4 linked regions of the Arabidopsis thaliana genome follow. The protein of the gene in region 4 interacts with the protein of the main gene of each other region in a pairwise test. Each region holds a gene or a part of one and is shown on either strand. Other genes may lie near its edges.

Region 1 (3,873 bases), on a different chromosome or scaffold from region 4:
TTCCTTTACACGAATAGTAAATGAGAAAAACTCACATCTACAATTTTCGTTATCGTGTTAAATAGTATACAAATTTAAACCACTTTTTGAGCATTTAGACCTAAGTTTTATTTTCCGGAGATAAGCTGTTATTTTGCTCTGTTTACGTTTTCTTTTGCATCACTACTCTTATGCATATGTATATAAGTCCTCACTTTACTCATTAATAAATTTCTTATTTAAACTAAAAAATCATATACCGAAGTTACTATAAAACCTACGAATTCTCTCTAATTCATAAACATTTGTAAACAGCATTCATTAATACTATATGATAGATAATAAATAACTGTTCGTATAATCTACTTATTTTTCTTATTTCACCTTTACAGACAACCCCACAGCCCACTTGGGTATCGACTTTATAGTTAAAGCAATGTTCGTGCCTTTTGTCCTATAAAGGAACGACACAGGTAGCGCCTAAGAAAAAAATAAAAACTAACAAGTGAGTAAAAATGCAAAATAAGTAGAAGGGAAAAAGAAAAAACGAGTATAAAAATCACACGCAATTCTAGAACAAACGTAGATAACGTGAAAAACATAGAATCAACTATTTGATATTGACTAACTGTTAGTGTACTTGGAACTGTGAGAATAAGTCGCTTTGAAGTCTGAAGAGGTTCAGGTGTCCTGAGTTTCTAAATAAATAAAGAGAACAAACTTGTACTTGTTTTTTGGTTGTGAAATATTACTGTATCTTAATACTGTGAAATTTCAACATATTTCTTGAAACTAAGTTTGGTATTTCTAGCAAATCCATCAATAGAGTATGAAATTCAATGTTCTCATTTAGTCATGATTTTGATCAAAAGAGAATTTTCCACACATCAATTGCGATTGAAAAAGTTTTCAAAGGATCATCATAGCTCACATCAAGAAACATGATGATGAATAATCTCATCACCACTATTTATTTAATAATTCCTTATAATGAAAACCAATTTTGTTCTCACTTTATTTGGAACCCATCATAGTCTAGTCCTCCACGAAAAAAAGAAAAGAAAATAAATGAGCATATAGTGACCCAAAACTAAACCCAAATTCAACTTTTTTTCAAAACTGGTACTTAGCTATACGTTTTCACATATTTAACAGTTGTTACTATGAACATGATATAAAGCATAGCTAACCAGATAAGATCAAACGCAACGAATACAAAATAAACTCTAATATAGCAATCATCAAAACGAATACAAATTCTTGCAAAAATAGAAAAGAAAGTGTGATGCAAAAACAAAGCTTTCCACAAATACAAACACATAACACAAAAACAACAGTTTATATATTTAATATAGTTTAATAAGATATGTTTGTTTTGTTTATCATATTTTTTTATAAACACAGGAGAAAACAATAAGGTAAACGGGAGCACGACAAGTTTGATAATGTCGGGAAGAAAAGTTAAAAAGAATTTCTTTGTTAATAATAAAATTAGGGAATAAAAAAAGGGTAAAAGAGAAGAAGAAAGAATGGCATTGTTGTTGGTATGGCCACTACCAGACATATGGGTCCTACTCTTCTCATCACTCTCTCCACCACCTAATCCTCTCTCTCTTTCTTCTTCCTCAATTCTTGAAACTCTCTTTCAGATTTCAAGAAACCCTTAAAATCCTCTCTCTGTCTCTTTCTGTTTGTTTGTTTTCTTGTTTCCTTCTCTCTCTCTCTTTCTTTCTTTGTCTTCCTTTCCCAGGTTGTTTTTTTTTGCTCTCTCTGCCTTCTTGACTTTCAAAAGACTCTTTCTTTCTTTTGGATTGATTTTGGATTCTAGGGCTCTCTTTCTTTTAGTGGGTTTTTGTTGTTGTTGTTGTGGTCTCTCTGATGATTACTGAACTTGAGATGGGGAAAGGTGAGAGTGAGCTTGAGCTTGGTCTAGGGCTGAGTCTTGGCGGTGGAACGGCGGCCAAGATTGGTAAATCAGGTGGTGGTGGCGCGTGGGGAGAGCGTGGAAGGCTTTTGACGGCTAAGGATTTTCCTTCTGTTGGTTCTAAACGTGCTGCTGATTCTGCTTCTCATGCTGGTTCATCTCCTCCTCGTTCAAGGTTCGTCTTTTTCAAGCTTTTTGGTTTCAAAGAAAGATCTTTTAAGATGTTTAATTCCTTTTGTATGATGTGAAATTGCTATTCTCTGAACATAGTTCGTTTAGGAGTTTCTTAAAGATTCTTTAGTGTTTGGATGTATACTTGATCTGAGTTATGTCGGAAGAAATGCTCTGGTTTGGAATTAGGAATCTTGAATAGTTGAATCTGTTCTTGGTTTTGATTCATTTGGATAGATTACAAGTCCTGACTTGATGTTTGCTTTGTTTGTAGCAGTCAAGTTGTTGGATGGCCTCCTATAGGGTCACACAGGATGAACAGTTTGGTTAATAACCAAGCTACAAAGTCAGCAAGAGAAGAAGAAGAAGCTGGTAAGAAGAAAGTGAAAGATGATGAACCTAAAGATGTGACAAAGAAAGTGAATGGGAAAGTACAAGTTGGATTTATTAAGGTGAACATGGATGGAGTTGCTATAGGAAGAAAAGTGGATTTGAATGCTCATTCTTCTTACGAGAATTTGGCGCAAACATTGGAAGATATGTTCTTTCGCACTAATCCGGGTACTGTCGGGTTAACCAGTCAGTTCACTAAACCGTTGAGGCTTTTAGATGGATCGTCTGAGTTTGTACTTACTTATGAAGATAAGGAAGGAGATTGGATGCTTGTTGGTGATGTTCCATGGAGGTAATAGATCTAAAAACCTTGTTTATTTATCTCTTACACTTCCAATAAATGTTTCTGATGGTCTTTTTGTTGGAATTATCTTAGAATGTTCATCAACTCGGTGAAAAGGCTACGTGTGATGAAAACCTCTGAAGCTAATGGACTCGGTATGTAGATAATCTCATCTTGATTCCTGTTCTTGTTTCTCAAGATGACGCAATGAAAAATTTCTACTAAAACATGTTAATATATATGCAGCTGCACGAAATCAAGAACCAAACGAGAGACAGCGAAAGCAGCCGGTTTAGATCTCTTTTCGACGTTACGGTGTTACAGGTTTTATATTTTGGGGTTTTGCAAGTCTGAGATACTTCTGAAGCAAGCATAAGCTAGATTGATCTTATATCCAGTTTGTGTATTTTCTTGGTTCTTATAATGGTTTTTACTGGTTTTCTTTAGTTTTTTTTTTTGCTGTCTTTTAATTTTCGGTTGCGATTTCACTATATACTATGGATGGAAGAGAATGCTCTTTATATCTTTTACTACACTGTAAATATTTGAAGCTTATCTAATATCGTTTTTAAGGGTTTTTGTTGATGAGTCTACTCTAATGATCTTAGAACTATGCCAATATATCCACAAATAACTACTCAGATCAAATGGGGTTACGGAAACATAAGGCAAGAAAGCAAATAGATTACAAAACTCATAATGTATTTACAACTCAAAACGTTTCACACAGGTTAAACTTCTTATAATAGTGATTGTGAAAATCCTTAATACATACATATTCCTCTCACTGTTAGCTTTTGAGTAATGTAATTGAAGCAGTGACTACAATACTCTACTTTAAGCAAAAGAATAAGCAAGCAACCAACGTTTTCAAGTCATAAGCTTTTAAATTCCCTAGTGACATTTAGCCTTGAGTTTTACGGGACTCTCTGAGTTGTTGATCTCTGATACTCTGCCTCCAACATTGAAGAAGTTTTGAAACAGAATTGCATATTTTTCGGTTCTTGTGTTTTGTAAGATTCTCTAGCCTAACCATGAGCTTCCTTGTTTCCATAGCTCTTGCGCTGATGGGGAACTCCAAGAGCAAAGCGAGGGTATCTACGCACATTGATGTTTCTACTTC
Region 2 (4,369 bases), on a different chromosome or scaffold from region 4:
TAAATACTTTGGGTAACTCCAACTAATCTTTAGATTTTATAGCCTTCATATGATTTCTATAGTGATAGACACATTTTTACTAAAGATTCGTATCCTTAGATAGCTTTGTAAGTAACTAATGGCACGATTAGATGGTGAGTTAAGGTGGAATATAAGTTGAGATGTCCCAAAAACGACAAAAACCTTGCCCAAAAAAAGAGAGAGACAAAGGAAAAGTTAAAGAAAGGCACCTTATGATTAAGACACTCGAACTTACACTAAAACACAAATCTAAAAAGCTTTAGATAAGATCCAAAGATGGATCCACCTTAGAGGCAGGCTTTAACCAAATTACTATGCATATGATATTTTATAATACTGCAACTTACAGGTCTTTTTTGTATGTCTTCTTGCTATGTATATACTTATCGTTGTTACAAATGAATGACTTAATCAATACAGCCAAACAATATATAAATCACTGGTAGAATATAAATGACAATATTTCATATACTTCTTCTCATGTTATATTGTTATAGCATCAGATATATTGGTTTAATAAATATGGGTTAAAATATGAGTTGAAACGTTTAAATGTAGATTGAGTCATCCACTTAAAAAATATACTTGGAGATAGATTAGATGGGCATAAATACTATCAAAGTTAAATCTGATTTGATCATTTAAACTTTTATTAATTTAAGACTATGATCCAAGTATCAAAGTTTTACTAATAGGTCAAATTGTAATGTACTGTAGCATATATGCTCGATTTTGGGAAAACATTGTCTGATAAAAATGAAAAGTGGAGTGTGGAGACCACAATTCTTTTTGGGAACACTGCTCAATATTGCTACTGCGGCTAAGTGGCAAAGAGCTACCCCTACTGTTTCTTTCCTCTTTTCATGCTTCTGGTGGACCCAAAAAATGAGAGCCTATGGGCCCAAAACTTTTTCGAGATTCTCTTCTCTGTTCTCACCCCCAAGCCTAAATATCATCTTCCATCGCAATTATTGGCGACTTACTAATAATCTCCATTCGTTAGCTAAACTACTAGTGAATTTATACAAGTTTGTGAAGTTTAAACTCCAATACGTTTGATTTATTATAGAATATGTTATGCTATCATGCACATGATTAAATGGTTCACCGTTATTAGATTATCATTATCATCACTCAATTTCATGAGTAAAGATTGGTTTCACGAGCTAACTTATGAGTTATATCAAATCGTCTAGTGAATCTAAAACATATAATGTTAAGCCAAACTAAACAGAATTAGTGACTCATTACAACATCTCTATACATATATCAAAAAGGAATTGCATACAAAAGCGTATTTTAGATACTAAATCGTTTTGCATGATAGCATAACATGCACACCTTCATGAGATAGCAAATTGTTTTTTTCAAATACAAAAGTAAAAAGTAAAACAAAACGTGGAATACGAGAGTCGAGACAAGGGCATAATAGGAAAGGTTTCAGGACGCTTTCTGTGACCTGTCGGGGAGTAGATGTCTACACAAAACGTAACGTGTATATACAATACATTCATGTGTACCATTTTCTTAAATCAACATTTTGTGTTTAAACCCGCCAAAAGAGGAAAGTACTTACTTCTAATTACGGTTTATATGAATATAAAATTACGTATACTACTTCCGTCCACTTTTGGAAAATAATACGATTCCAAGAAAAAAGAAGATTAAAGGTAAAAAAATAAAAAAAAATAAAGCTCTCTCACACACCTTTTTATCATTTCTCATTTTCACTCACAATTTGATCTCATCTTTAAATTTTTTTGTTTCCCATTTCTCTCAGAAAGTGTTCTGTTCTTTTTTTCTTTTGTAATCACTAAATGCTTCAAAAGTTTGTCCACAATTATATTTGAAAAAAATGTCTGTATCTGTAGCAGCAGAGCATGATTACATAGGTTTGTCAGAGTTTCCAACCATGGAAGCAACAACAATGTCTGACAAAACCAAAACCAGAGACAATAACAACGGTCTCAATTTCAAGGCTACCGAGTTAAGACTCGGTTTACCCGGTTCTGAGTCGCCGGAGCGAGTCGACTCAAGATTCTTGGCTCTCAACAAGAGTAGCTGTCCCGTGTCAGGTGCCAAAAGGGTGTTCTCCGACGCTATTAACGACTCTAACAAATGGGTCTTCTCTCCTGGATCCACTACTGCTACTGGTGATGTCGGCTCGGGTTCTGGTCCCCGTACCTCCGTCGTTAAAGATGGAAAGTCGACAACTTTCACTAAACCGGCTGTTCCGGTTAAGGAGAAGAAGAGCTCTGCTACAGCTCCAGCTTCAAAGTAAGCTTTTTTTGCTCTGTTTTAGATTTTTCTCAGCTTTTTTGCTCTGTTTTATGATTTCTGTGAAGAGGGATTCTTGATGTTTTTTTTTTTTGATTGAGCAGAGCACAAGTGGTGGGATGGCCACCAATAAGATCATTCAGGAAGAACTCAATGGCTTCTTCTCAATCTCAGAAACCTGGTAATAACTCAGAGACTGAAGAAGCAGAAGCTAAGTCTGGACCAGAACAACCTTGCTTGTATGTCAAAGTGAGTATGGAAGGTGCTCCTTACTTGAGGAAAATCGATCTCAAGACTTACAAAAGCTACCTTGAGCTCTCTTCTGCTCTTGAGAAGATGTTCAGTTGCTTCACCATTGGTAACGTTTTCTAGTCTCTCCTTCTTTGAGATCAATACCAGTGATTGAGTTAACTGTTTTCTTTTGGTTCCTTTTTTCAGGTCAGTTTGGTTCTCATGGAGGGTGTGGCAGAGATGGGTTAAACGAGAGTCGCTTGACTGATCTCTTGCGTGGTTCTGAGTATGTTGTAACCTATGAAGATAAAGACAGTGACTGGATGCTGGTCGGAGATGTCCCTTGGGAGTAAGTCTTTGATTTTTAAAAGATCAATCTCAACAATGTAAATTAACATCAAGTATTAGATCATATCTAATGATCTTAGCACAGTTTTAGCTTAACAGAAGAATATAGATCAGTGAAGCTCTCTTACTGTTTTTTCCTCTGCAGAATGTTTATATGCTCCTGCAAGAAGCTGAGAATCATGAAGAGCTCTGAGGCTATCGGCTTAGGTTAGTATTTCTTTACTAAACCCTAGTTTAATGTTCCACACCCATGTGCTCGATTTTAAGATGTATTAGAAAGGTGGTCCATTTTGAACTAAGACACCCTTCTAATACTTTCATGGTTCTTAAGCTTCTCGCTGGATTCTATAAACATTCTGAAGCTAAAGAAATATATTACTGGAGAAACTAAAACGATGCAATTTAGTCCTTTCCAAGCCTCTTAAACACTAGGAACTTACTGCACACTACTGTACAAATGAAGAATACACAATGATTCATACACAAATCTTGCTTTTTCTTTTTTTGCAGCTCCAAGGGTGATGGAGAAGTGCAGAAGCAGGAACTAGGAAAAGCCCTTTTATGTGATAATATATGATTTGAAAAAATATGTTTTTAAGAAATTGAATAGCCATTTTGTTTTGAAGTATTCTTGTGTGTTTGTGTGCTAGGAGTGATGTTTGATCTTTCTTAAACCAGCCTCTACTAAGCTCTAATAAGGCCTCTTCCTCTTACTTCTTTCTCTAATCAATCTAATGAAACATATGGGTTTGTGTATGTGTGTTTGCCAAGGAAGACTTCATAATTCATATGTATAAAAGTTTTGGTAGTGTGTAAACCGGATGTGGTTTTCATTGTTATATATGTTTTGGATGCAAACTTTACTATAGAAAATAGTTTTTCTAGTTCATGAGTTTCCATGAAATGAAGTTATAATGATCCTTTGATAGAGCTTATATCATTCAAACAAAAGACTTCAAAAACAAGGGTTTATTACTAGACATGTACAACGGGTTTACAAGACGCACAACACTTACTAGCGTTTTCACATCTTCATACTAAACATATATATCTATACTACTAAAGAACCTAATCCTCAGATTCCTTTCTTTATGACTTCTATGTACAAAACGAAAGTGAAGACACCCACAAAGGCTTACCGGGATGACAGAGTACCTCCGATATACTTCCTTATGTCTCAGTTTTTCTGAAAACTCCAGCTTCTCTTGCTGAGGTTGCTCACTATCCAGCCAAAGTCGAGTAGATTTTGCCCGTATTGTATCTTCACAAGGTAACTTCTGTAGGGTATTAGTATGCTCTTGAGACCTGAAAGCATTCGAGATAGATGGTTTCAAGATACATCAGTACATCACCAAATGGAAACGGCCATTATCAAATATTACTACCTGAATAATAAGGTAAATTATGAAATAATCCCACATTGATATAAAAGCATAAGGAGATTGTAGTTACCTGTAATGCACATTGTTTTGTAAAAGTGAGCAACTTGAGC
Region 3 (4,933 bases), on a different chromosome or scaffold from region 4:
AGCTCATTTCTGAAAGTGATAAAGGATACAACGTAATTCCATATTTCTAGTGGTTTTTCATTTTTCATTATAGAGAGGATATTTGTGTATAATTATGATAACCTTGTTAATAAATTTAGTTGGTATAAAAGTTAATATTCCTAATTAATTTAATGGGAAATTAAATGATAAACAAAGGTAATGAAATGAAGAGACCCATGAATATGCACATGGCATTGCTCCCTCTCTTCCCTATGGGTCCTATTTCTCTATTTTATTTCCTCCAACCAAAGCCAATTATCACTTTAAGTACCAACAAATCAATATACCAACAAAGTGAATTTTCCCCATTTTTGTAATTATATTCATCTGATATAACATATGTATATTGTAATATTGTAATTCTAATTATACCGACTTCGAAATTATACTTGGGGAAAGTTTACTTTAGGGTCAAATACTCGATCGCTATGATCTTTAGTTTCACTTTCAAGACGAACCAAAAGAATACTGTTCTGCCTTTAGAAAATAACTGACTATTAAGAGACTGAAATTAAAGAGAAGTAATGTGAGATTAAATTTTCCATAGTGGAATAAAAATCACATATTCCTTATACGAATATACACATCTTTGGCAAAATAAATAAATAAAGACAAACATATACATAGGAATAGGATGTTCAAATTATTACACATTTTCCATTACAAATGTCTCAAATATTTAACTTAAGTTCATTACACATAATAGCATACAAACTATATCTACATACCAAATCCAGATCAAAACACAGACAATCAAAAGAAACTGAACAATGTATTTCATCGTAAGAAAAAAAAGAGCAATTAACACCAATCAATGTGTTAATCAAATATATAATCGATACCACTTATCCTTTTAATTTGACTTCAAGCTCTGCTCTTGCACTTCTCCATCGCCCTCGGAGCTGAAATATTTTTACAATTAATAAGCAAAGACATTTGACCACGGTATTTATTCTGTTAAAAGAGTATATTTTTTATTCCCTCTGTTATTTAATCTCTTTCTTTTTTTGCATTTGACAAAAGAGAATCAAATATCATGTATTATATCAATGATTTAAAAGATCAAAGCGATAAGTTTTCTTTCGACAAATTTGTTCTTTACGGTAGAAATATAATTGTGCGAAAAATAATGAACGGTTTAAGCGTTTGATGATTAGACATCATCTTAAACGATAGCATATTAAATTATTTAGGCGACCAAGTTATGCGGTTGAGGTGTACATTATAGTAAACTTTTAAGCTCTTTTGTAAGTTTTTTTTTTCTTTTTGGGGCAAATCTCTTTTGTAAGCTATTTTAACTATATTGTATACATATACACGTAAATTTTAATTTAAATGGGTAACAAACTGAAATCAAAATTTAATCAATGTGAATATAATATGCATTGGTAGAAAATACATACCGAGACCAATGGCATCCGATCCTTTCATGAGACGTAAACGCTTGCATGTATCGACGAACATTCTAATAAATAAAAAGATTAAAACAAATGGTTATTTATTAGAAACAAATAAATGACATAAACAAAAATAAAGCTCGAATTTTAACCGAAACAATAAAGCTCTAATTAAATGGTAATTAATAAGGGAGAAGAAGAAGACGTACGGCCAAGGAACGTCGCCGACGAGCATCCAATCACCGTCTTTGTCTTCATAAGAGGGAACATAGTCCCAGCTATTCACCAAATCCATCAATTTCCTCTCATTCATGAAGTCTATCATTCCTTCTTCTCCTCCATGTTTGCCTAAAATAATCTTAGGTATAAGAACTTGATATCCTGAATTTAAACTTGGTGGTTTTCTTTTATGGTGCAACAAATGAAATATACATTTTTCGCAATTGGATTTTATCACATAGTTTTCTTTTCACAGTTTCTAAACTACTACTAACGGGTTACTCAATTATGAAATATTTGTATACTCGATAACGGTAATTCATTTGGGACTGATCTATCATCATGATGATTAATTTTTCTTTCTATAGTAACAATTAATTAGTAACTAAATGTGCATGGAAGGATCTACATATATATATAAGGAATATACTTATAAAACGTACCCATGGTAAAAGAGCTGAACATGTTGGACAAAGCATTAGAAAGCTCATCGTAGCTTTTATACATCCTCAAATCGATTTTCCTCAAGTACGGTGCTCCGTCCATTGATACCTTCACGAACGCCGCCGCCTCCGGGCCACCGCTTGATTTTTGGCAGGAAACCATCACGTTCTTCCGGTATGATCTCACCGGTGGCCATCCCACAACTTGTGCCCTATATTTTTTTTAAAACGGAAAAACGGTTATGTTATACAAGATATAGACTGTAGTTAGCTTTGACGTGATGTCACATAAATTTTACTTGCATGAGACTATGGGTTAAACATAATTAAATATATTAAGACATTGGACGATTTAAGAAGAGAAAAAAACCGTAGACATATGATAAAATGGTTTTGGCGAAGAAAAATATATATCTTTAATGAAATTTCTGTTTTTTTTTGCAGTCACCTTTACAAAAATGTTAATATTAAGAGCAGTAGAGAAGAGTGGAAAATAAATCATAAAGGACAAAATAGTAAAATTACTTGGCCGGAGGTTTGGCTGGATCTTTAGGACAAGCACTCTTCTCCTTGGAATCAAAAGTCACGACGTCATGAGTCGTAGATCCTTCCTTGTTTGCAGGCTCATTATTCAGATTTAGCTTCAGATCAACCGTCTCTGAGAACCCTCTCTTGTTTCCGGTTACCGGAGCCACTGTATCTCCACCGGGAAGACCAAGACACAGCTCAGTCTCCCTCAGATTCAGCTCGACACTGCCCATCATTATTAACCTTTCTTCTTCTTTGGTGTTCTTCTTCTTGGGAAGGTGATGAGGAAGATGGAAAAATGGTTTTATAAAAACACTCAAATAATACAAAGTGAGATGAGTCTGTATTATATCTCTGTCTAGGAGGTAGCTGCATGTGTATGTCGTATTTAAGAGATCTTTGATTAAACGGGTTTTAGACACGTGGATGAATCTAAGCCCTTTGATTAAGTCATCATCCTCGAGTTTTAGTCTTTTAGACTAATCAGTAATCACTGTTATTACTCTATTACTGTTATTGAATCTTTCTTATGATTTATCTTGTAGATTATGTATATATTATTGCATTTGACTATACAAAATGGATATATATTTTAATCCGTCTTTAATCGTTTTTCTCCCGTTAAAAGAGATATATAACATTTTGAGATTACAAGCGAAAGCACAAGTGAAGGAAAGATTTTAAAATTACAAGTGAATTATGAAACACATTCGAAGCAACCAAGTGAATTAAGTGGTGATGAACCGATTAATTGATATGGGGTATCTAACTAAATATATGTATATACCATATGGTCTTAAAAACTATATCAACGTATAGTTTATAAATATATATTCTTTTGAGTGGCGAGGTCGCAGACATCTCATATGAGAGTGTTACAATAGAGATGTACATTATTATTAATATAACTATATTATGCTTTTTGACTTCTAAATATAATTATTAACTAATGAATATATATTCATGATTTTGATTATTTTTCCCCGTAAGATTCTTCGCCGGAACCTTCCAATTATGCATATCACATCCACATGATTCAATTATTCATCCCACAATAAAAGCGCAGCCCTCTTGTATATAATTATTCTCATGCCAATACAAAATAAAGCATACGGTACATCTTCAATATTTATTGATTAAAAACTCACCTATAAACACGTACAGCGAAATGTGTATCTAGACACATAAAAACGCATCATTACTCTTTAATGTTTATACTTTGTAGTTAACAAACTATAAATTGCAATATTATAAACACCACTTTGTAGTTAACAATAAAATTGGTGATTAATTTTCTTTACAGATATTTACAGATTAAATTGACTACTAAAATATAATGTCTGTTTTTGATTATTGAAAATTATTTTTCTTCTTTTATATTGCTTGTGTTATTCTTGTAGTATGAAAGTTTTCAACAATAGGGTAGTTTTTTTTTTTTTTTGTAGTTATGAAAGCACCTAAATTTGTATTACATTTTCTATTAATTTGTCTATATTATCGCATTTCTAAACAAAAAAACAAATTCTGTCGCACTTCCAAAACATATTTTGTTTTTATTTCATCAATCACGCTTCCAAAAACAAAAATGATATGTTTTGGAATTGTATTTTCACGGCGCTTTTGCGAATTTTCAAACTTTCGTTCAAAATTCGACTTTAGTGATCTACTAGACACTGGTTTTAGTTCAAAGTAATCAGTTAGGCGTAAACTGTGAATACGGGACGTTTAAATAACACCAAGCGTACTAACCATAATTAACCAACGTAAATTCAATAAATATGAAAATAAAGAGGGAAAAAGGCATATTCCTACCCTAATAAAATCTATGAGAGGGGACATGAGTGGCATCAAAATCCAAAGGAAGAGAGGGTACAATTAACATCACCATAAATTCCAAAGCCAAAATTTAAATTAATGAGAAGAAGAAAAACATGGAGATGATAAAGGGACAAGTTACATCAAATAAAATTCAGGGGCGAAAACATCTTAAACCCTACTTTTGTTCCTTGCCTTGTCTACATCCTCCTCTTTAACCCTTTTCTCTCCTTTTGTTTCTATCCCAAAAAACTCTCATGAGTTTTCAAATCAACGTACCCCAAATTTTTCAATCGAATTTTGGGTCACTTTGTCTTATATATCACATCATTTTGTCGTGTTTTATCAATGTGTATCTACTTTGTCTGATCAATATATATATCTACTGATCACTATGGAATTCACATGAAATTGTAAACCAGTGAATAATATAAATTCTCGGTCCAGCCTACATGATTACAAAAAAATGCGCCCGCACACATAAATGGATTGTATGCGAAACTTTAATGA
Region 4 (6,106 bases):
ATTCTTTCATATCTCGTCTCCGCTTTGCAAGGATTTGTCCGTACAATAATCATATGCACTATTTTAATTATTTTTTTGTTGGGTGGGATTCAAAAAAGTTTTTTTTACCCCTCTATCAGCTAGTTAGAGAAGTGAGACTATATATGATTCCAATCAATAATACATCACATCTATATTTCGTCTTGTAACGCGGCCACATAATCTTCATCAACGAAGCTTGAATGTTGTAATAGTGTTTCACTATCAACAACACACATTTGTAGGCCTTATGTAATTAGCGAGAGAACTCTACAGTCTACACTATAACTTTGAGTGGAAATAAATACTCGTATATGGTAACATAAAAATACTATGAACTTATGATTATACAAACTTGTAAGTAAAAAAGAGTGGTAAGGCTATGTAATATCGTCGACGTTTTCTAGGTAAATCTTAAGCTATAAAAAAGATTTTGAAACCCAAATAGTATCGAGTGATAGCATTAGTCTCATCGGGTGGTTACAAGCCAACATTGATTCGTGTTGCAAATTTTATTAAATACAAGGGTGTACACAAATCAAAACGCAATAATATTTTTGGATCATAGTCTTTCTTCACTATCATTGGGAAAAATAAAATAAAATAAGAAAAATAGCGATAGAATTTCCTCTGTAAATGAGCAAAATTGGTAGGACAAGTCAGCATTTGACACGTGTCGGTCATGAATACGACTAAACAGCGTGGCAATTTCTCTTACTCTGACGTGTCCATGTGGGGACCACTTTCTCCTCCGACACTTCGGCATGGCTTTCTCAACTTTTTATCACTCTTCTTCACCATTCTCATTTACTAAGCGCGTGTCTCCCACCTCTATCCGATTTAATTTTTTAAATTTGACGTTTCAAAAGTTCCTTCTATAAAAGCAATTAACGATAATTATATGAAATCCGTAAACATGAATTTTTCAAATAATTTCGATTTTTGATTTGCTAAGATTAAAAGCGCGTGAAAGAAAAAAAAGAATACAGCATGAACACCAGCGACTCAGAACTGACTCGGCACGTGGTAACATAAAACTCACACGCTTCCCAAGACGCTCGTCCCATAAAGAGTCATGGCTGTGACCTTGTGCGAGTGTGGGTGTAGCCATAGCCTTTGTGGGTCCTAAATAAAAAAAACGATCAATGGCATAATGTGTAATTAACTCACATTCCACAGTGTTAAATAAAAATTAAATCTGTAACGGAAAAAACAATCTATCTGATGTTACACAAAAAAAAAAAATAACGGAAAAAAGAAAATGTGGCCGGGGTTTAATAGAGAAGCCGACACGTTTGCCTGCCACGATCCAGACACAAGACGATGTGGGTAACGGCACCGTCAAGTGCTAACGGCAACGGGGTCATCAGTAAAAAGGGCAATTTAGGGATATAGAGTAAAGTCATAAGCTTATTTATTACTATCGTCTTGATCGGACGGCTGAGATTTGCCCTCTCCTTTAAATGCACCGTACGTTTTTTTTTTACATAATAAAATGTAATTAGTTCATAAGCAATTCCCAAAACGCCGCGTGACCCTTCGTTTGCCTTTGAATACAATTTGTTTTATTTTAGCGCATTTAATATATTTGAGTTTCCTTTTTAGCGATGACATGATAAAACAAAAAACAACAATTTTAGAAAACATTTAATTAAATGAATAGAAAAATAGGGAGATTCAACTGAAGTTACTGTGGGTGGAAATGACAGGTCTCCAGGATCTGAACTAAGAGAAAGTCTCTCTATATTTTGATATATAGAGAGAGATAAAGAAGGAGAGAGTGTGAATATATGTATGTGCATGATACTGTGAGACTTCTTCAGTAAAGGAAGCAGCTTTGGTTTGCTGCGGATCGGGATAAAAACGGCGAGAAGTTTGTGATTGTTGAAGCAAAACAACACGGAATCTGAAAGGAAAGGAGAAGACAAAAAAAAAAAAAGATTTTAAGAGGAAGAGAGAGAGAGATCGGTTTCGTGGCTGACGGAAAAAAAAAGGGGAGAGATTTAGTTTTATCCAACAGTGCCTGAATTACGTTCTGCAATCAATACGGACATAACCGTCCGTTGTGTCCTGTTTATAAAGTTTTGCTTTTTTTATTTTCTCCATTGATGGGTCTTTTCTTTCTTCTCTCTCTCGTGTTTCTTTCATGGGGTTAAGACTAGTGTTTACCGCGTGAAGGTTTTTTTTTCTTTCTATTTTCTTTCATTTCCTCTCCTTCTACTTCTTCTTCTCCAGTTCTCATCTGGGTTCTTCAATGGCGAGTGTTGAAGGTGATGATGATTTCGGAAGTTCTTCGTCAAGTGAGTAGTAAAAGGCTGAGACTTTAGAAAGTTTTGTTTTTTTTTTTGTTTCTAACAGTGACTCTGTTTGGGGTTTTACTCTGTAGAATCAAAATCAGCTTTGTAAAGTTTCGATTTTTTTTTCTTTCATTTTCTCGGGAGACGAGCTTAGAAAGAAATAGAAAAAACCCCAACTTTCTTATTTTTCTCGTATAGCTTCAAAGTTCACATTTTTGTTATAGTTTTGCCGCGGAAATGTGACTGTTAGGGTTTTGTTGTTGTTTGATTTTAGGGTCTTATCAAGATCAACTATACACAGAGCTATGGAAAGTTTGTGCAGGTCCATTAGTGGAAGTTCCTCGTGCTCAAGAGAGAGTTTTCTACTTCCCTCAGGGTCACATGGAACAAGTATATACCCACCCAAAAATCATCTCTTTTTACCCCAATTTTTCTTTTTCCATTCTCTTTCTAAATTCTGGGTTTTTTTGCAGCTTGTGGCGTCAACTAATCAAGGAATCAATTCAGAAGAAATACCTGTTTTTGATCTTCCTCCAAAGATACTTTGTCGAGTTCTTGATGTCACTTTAAAGGTAAAGTTGGATCATAAATGTTAAAATGTTTTATTTCCCCTGAATCTGTTAACTAAATTTTGATTTATAGGCGGAGCATGAAACAGATGAGGTTTACGCTCAGATCACATTACAACCAGAGGAAGATGTAAGTTCTTAAAAAAAAAACTCAACTTTATTTCAGTGAGTGTTAATTTATATTGATTGGAATTGATTTCAATTTACTGTTTTGTTTGCAGCAAAGTGAACCAACAAGTCTTGATCCACCTATTGTTGGACCAACTAAGCAAGAGTTTCATTCGTTTGTTAAGATTTTAACGGCTTCAGATACAAGCACTCATGGTGGATTCTCTGTTCTTCGTAAACACGCCACTGAATGCTTGCCTTCTTTGGTAAATATATTCTTAAAGAAACCTTCTCAATTCAAGAAACTTTAGCTTGAATTCTCACTCCAATTTTACACTTTTTAGGATATGACACAAGCTACTCCTACTCAAGAACTTGTGACTAGAGATCTTCATGGCTTTGAATGGAGGTTTAAGCATATATTCAGAGGTATTGATTCTAATCTTGGTGTGTTTTTGTGAAACTGTGTTTGGACTAAATGAGACATTGACTCATTGAGTGCCGTTTTTGGTTTAGGACAACCACGGAGGCATTTGCTTACTACGGGTTGGAGTACATTTGTATCCTCGAAAAGACTTGTAGCTGGAGATGCTTTTGTGTTCTTGAGGTACTTTTGAAATTGAAACTTTATTCACTGGTCTTGTTTAGTTTCATGAACCTAAATGTAATGCCTTTGTGTTTTTCAGGGGTGAGAATGGGGATTTACGGGTTGGAGTGAGACGATTAGCTCGGCATCAAAGCACAATGCCTACTTCGGTTATTTCAAGTCAGAGCATGCATTTGGGAGTTCTTGCTACAGCTTCTCATGCTGTGCGTACAACAACAATCTTTGTTGTCTTTTACAAGCCTAGGTATATAGTAATGTTCTTTAGATGATTTTGCTTTATATACATAGATGGTTTAGGACTCTTTGATTGAAGAAAAGTTTTCTCTCTTTGCAGGATAAGCCAATTCATAGTTGGGGTGAACAAGTATATGGAAGCTATAAAGCATGGATTTTCTCTCGGTACCCGATTCAGAATGAGGTTTGAAGGAGAAGAGTCTCCTGAGAGAATGTAAGAATCCATTTTCTCTGATCATTTCTTTTTTGTCAGTGTTCTTGATTCTGAAACCTGGAACGTCTTCAGATTTACTGGTACGATTGTGGGAAGTGGAGATCTATCTTCACAATGGCCAGCTTCTAAATGGAGGTCATTGCAGGTTCAGTTAACCATTCCACGTTCTTACATTTTAGTGTTTTACTTATTACGTGGTCTTTATATAACGTTTTTGTCTTGGTCTTTCTTAGGTACAATGGGATGAGCCAACAACAGTTCAGAGACCAGATAAAGTCTCACCATGGGAGATAGAGCCTTTCTTGGCAACTTCCCCAATTTCAACTCCTGCTCAACAACCACAATCGAAATGCAAGCGGTCAAGACCCATCGAGCCATCAGTTAAAACACCAGCCCCACCTAGTTTCTTGTACAGCCTCCCTCAGAGCCAAGATTCCATTAATGCATCCCTTAAACTGTTTCAAGATCCATCACTTGAGAGAATTTCAGGTGGATACTCCTCAAACAACAGCTTCAAACCCGAGACTCCTCCTCCTCCAACGAATTGTAGCTATAGGTTGTTTGGATTTGATCTCACAAGCAATTCTCCTGCTCCAATCCCTCAAGACAAGCAACCGATGGATACTTGTGGAGCTGCCAAGTGTCAAGAACCCATCACTCCAACCTCAATGAGTGAGCAGAAGAAGCAACAAACATCAAGAAGTCGAACTAAAGTAATTTTCTTTATCAACTCATATAATAACATAGCAACAATGTTTTGAAAATCTGATTTCTTTGATCTTGGATTGAAAAAGGTGCAAATGCAAGGCATTGCGGTTGGTCGTGCGGTTGATTTAACACTGTTGAAATCTTACGATGAACTGATTGATGAGCTTGAGGAGATGTTTGAGATTCAAGGACAGCTTCTTGCCCGAGACAAATGGATCGTTGTCTTCACTGATGATGAAGGAGATATGATGCTTGCTGGTGATGATCCGTGGAAGTAAGTTCTAAAATAACAGAGTTAAACATTTCCGGTTTAGCTCAAATCAGTTAAATGTGAACTTAAACCGGAACTGATTTTGCAATGTTCTGTTGTGTGGGATTGTGCAGTGAGTTTTGCAAGATGGCAAAGAAGATATTTATATATTCGAGCGATGAGGTTAAGAAAATGACAACGAAACTGAAGATTTCTTCGTCGTTAGAGAATGAGGAATATGGTAATGAATCATTCGAAAATCGTAGTAGGGGGTGAGAGTTTTAGCTGTTAATTAAGGTTAATTCGGCGACGTCGTTTTAGTGCGTAAGTGTCTAAAGACTTTTTTTTTAGTCTGTGTATATAAAGTCTTGTCCTCTTTTTCATGTCAATTTTTCAAGTTGGCGATTTAATATTTCGGTTTTGGGACAGTGGTTGATGGGGCGGTTTTACATCTTTTATGTGTATGTACTTGTTCCATAACCATTCAATTTTCAAAACCAAGTACATTCAATTAGTTATGGGTTCAAAGATTATATTTCTAATCAATAATTAAGGCTTAAAAAAAAAAAAACTACAGTATTAGAGAAGAATACAAAATACGTGAAGGCGTGGAAATCAACGCGGCGGGCATCATATGAAAGTCATGGAAAAGTAAAGGAGTCAAACGACTAGTTAAGATTCTCTTTTGGAGTTGGTAAAAATATTTGTGGATTAATGAACTTCTAGGATATAGTGTTATTAGAAAATTGAACTGAAATCGAAAAAAATGAAAACTAAACTTTGGAAGTTCATGTTATCGTGCCAAAAATAAGTCTCCATGATGTTCTCTATAAAAATTCTTAAGTTTTAATTTCCAAACCTTTTAGCTGCATCAGATTTTTCTTTAATAAAATGCAAATGACAAAAGAAAGAAAATCTATTTTGTTTTCGGATAAAGTCACATATGAAGTGTATACTGTAGTTGATATTTGTCAAAAAAAAAAATATTGTTTTAAACTTTTAATTCAGATTTGCCTTATAATGAAGAAGAAAACAATACAATTATTTTCAAACTTAGTATTGGTTTGGTGGTGGTTATGTACTTATGTAGTATGGAGCAAC

What was found.
Region 1: the proteins of ARF18 (region 4) and IAA13 interact in binary tests that used the Arabidopsis thaliana proteins (3 or more experiments, as listed by UniProt).
Region 2: the proteins of ARF18 (region 4) and PAP2 interact in binary tests that used the Arabidopsis thaliana proteins (3 or more experiments, as listed by UniProt).
Region 3: the proteins of ARF18 (region 4) and AXR3 interact in binary tests that used the Arabidopsis thaliana proteins (3 or more experiments, as listed by UniProt).

What each region holds. Positions count from the first base shown.
Region 1 is NC_003071.7:14,113,742-14,117,614, reverse strand, and holds IAA13 (auxin-induced protein 13), read left to right. Parts: upstream 1-1,645; 5' UTR 1,646-1,857; coding exon 1,858-2,078; intron 2,079-2,348; coding exon 2,349-2,759; intron 2,760-2,843; coding exon 2,844-2,905; intron 2,906-2,996; coding exon 2,997-3,046; 3' UTR 3,047-3,334; downstream 3,335-3,873. Other genes in the region: AT2G33300 (Transcription elongation factor (TFIIS) family protein), read right to left, coding at 3,655-3,873. UniProt on the Arabidopsis thaliana protein: Aux/IAA proteins are short-lived transcriptional factors that function as repressors of early auxin response genes at low auxin concentrations.
Region 2 is NC_003075.7:14,322,721-14,327,089, reverse strand, and holds PAP2 (phytochrome-associated protein 2), read left to right. Parts: upstream 1-1,728; 5' UTR 1,729-1,876; coding exon 1,877-2,298; intron 2,299-2,402; coding exon 2,403-2,656; intron 2,657-2,736; coding exon 2,737-2,878; intron 2,879-3,022; coding exon 3,023-3,084; intron 3,085-3,387; coding exon 3,388-3,425; 3' UTR 3,426-3,794; downstream 3,795-4,369. Other genes in the region: AT4G29070 (Phospholipase A2 family protein), read right to left, coding at 4,055-4,182, 4,330-4,369. UniProt on the Arabidopsis thaliana protein: Aux/IAA proteins are short-lived transcriptional factors that function as repressors of early auxin response genes at low auxin concentrations.
Region 3 is NC_003070.9:1,134,293-1,139,225, reverse strand, and holds AXR3 (AUX/IAA transcriptional regulator family protein), read right to left. Parts: upstream 3,149-4,933; 5' UTR 2,845-3,148; coding exon 2,606-2,844; intron 2,293-2,605; coding exon 2,081-2,292; intron 1,767-2,080; coding exon 1,628-1,766; intron 1,487-1,627; coding exon 1,425-1,486; intron 924-1,424; coding exon 886-923; 3' UTR 563-885; downstream 1-562. UniProt on the Arabidopsis thaliana protein: Aux/IAA proteins are short-lived transcriptional factors that function as repressors of early auxin response genes at low auxin concentrations.
Region 4 is NC_003074.8:22,885,899-22,892,004, forward strand, and holds ARF18 (auxin response factor 18), read left to right. Parts: upstream 1-1,990; 5' UTR 1,991-2,272; coding exon 2,273-2,318; intron 2,319-2,369; exon of another isoform or gene 2,370-2,589; coding exon 2,590-2,705; intron 2,706-2,788; coding exon 2,789-2,887; intron 2,888-2,957; coding exon 2,958-3,014; intron 3,015-3,105; coding exon 3,106-3,258; intron 3,259-3,336; coding exon 3,337-3,421; intron 3,422-3,508; coding exon 3,509-3,599; intron 3,600-3,678; coding exon 3,679-3,843; intron 3,844-3,933; coding exon 3,934-4,047; intron 4,048-4,119; coding exon 4,120-4,192; intron 4,193-4,280; coding exon 4,281-4,760; intron 4,761-4,841; coding exon 4,842-5,029; intron 5,030-5,139; coding exon 5,140-5,281; 3' UTR 5,282-5,557; downstream 5,558-6,106. Other genes in the region: AT3G61826 (uncharacterized protein), read right to left, coding at 733-825; AT3G61829 (uncharacterized protein), read right to left, coding at 1,293-1,424. UniProt on the Arabidopsis thaliana protein: Auxin response factors (ARFs) are transcriptional factors that bind specifically to the DNA sequence 5'-TGTCTC-3' found in the auxin-responsive promoter elements (AuxREs). Could act as transcriptional activator or repressor.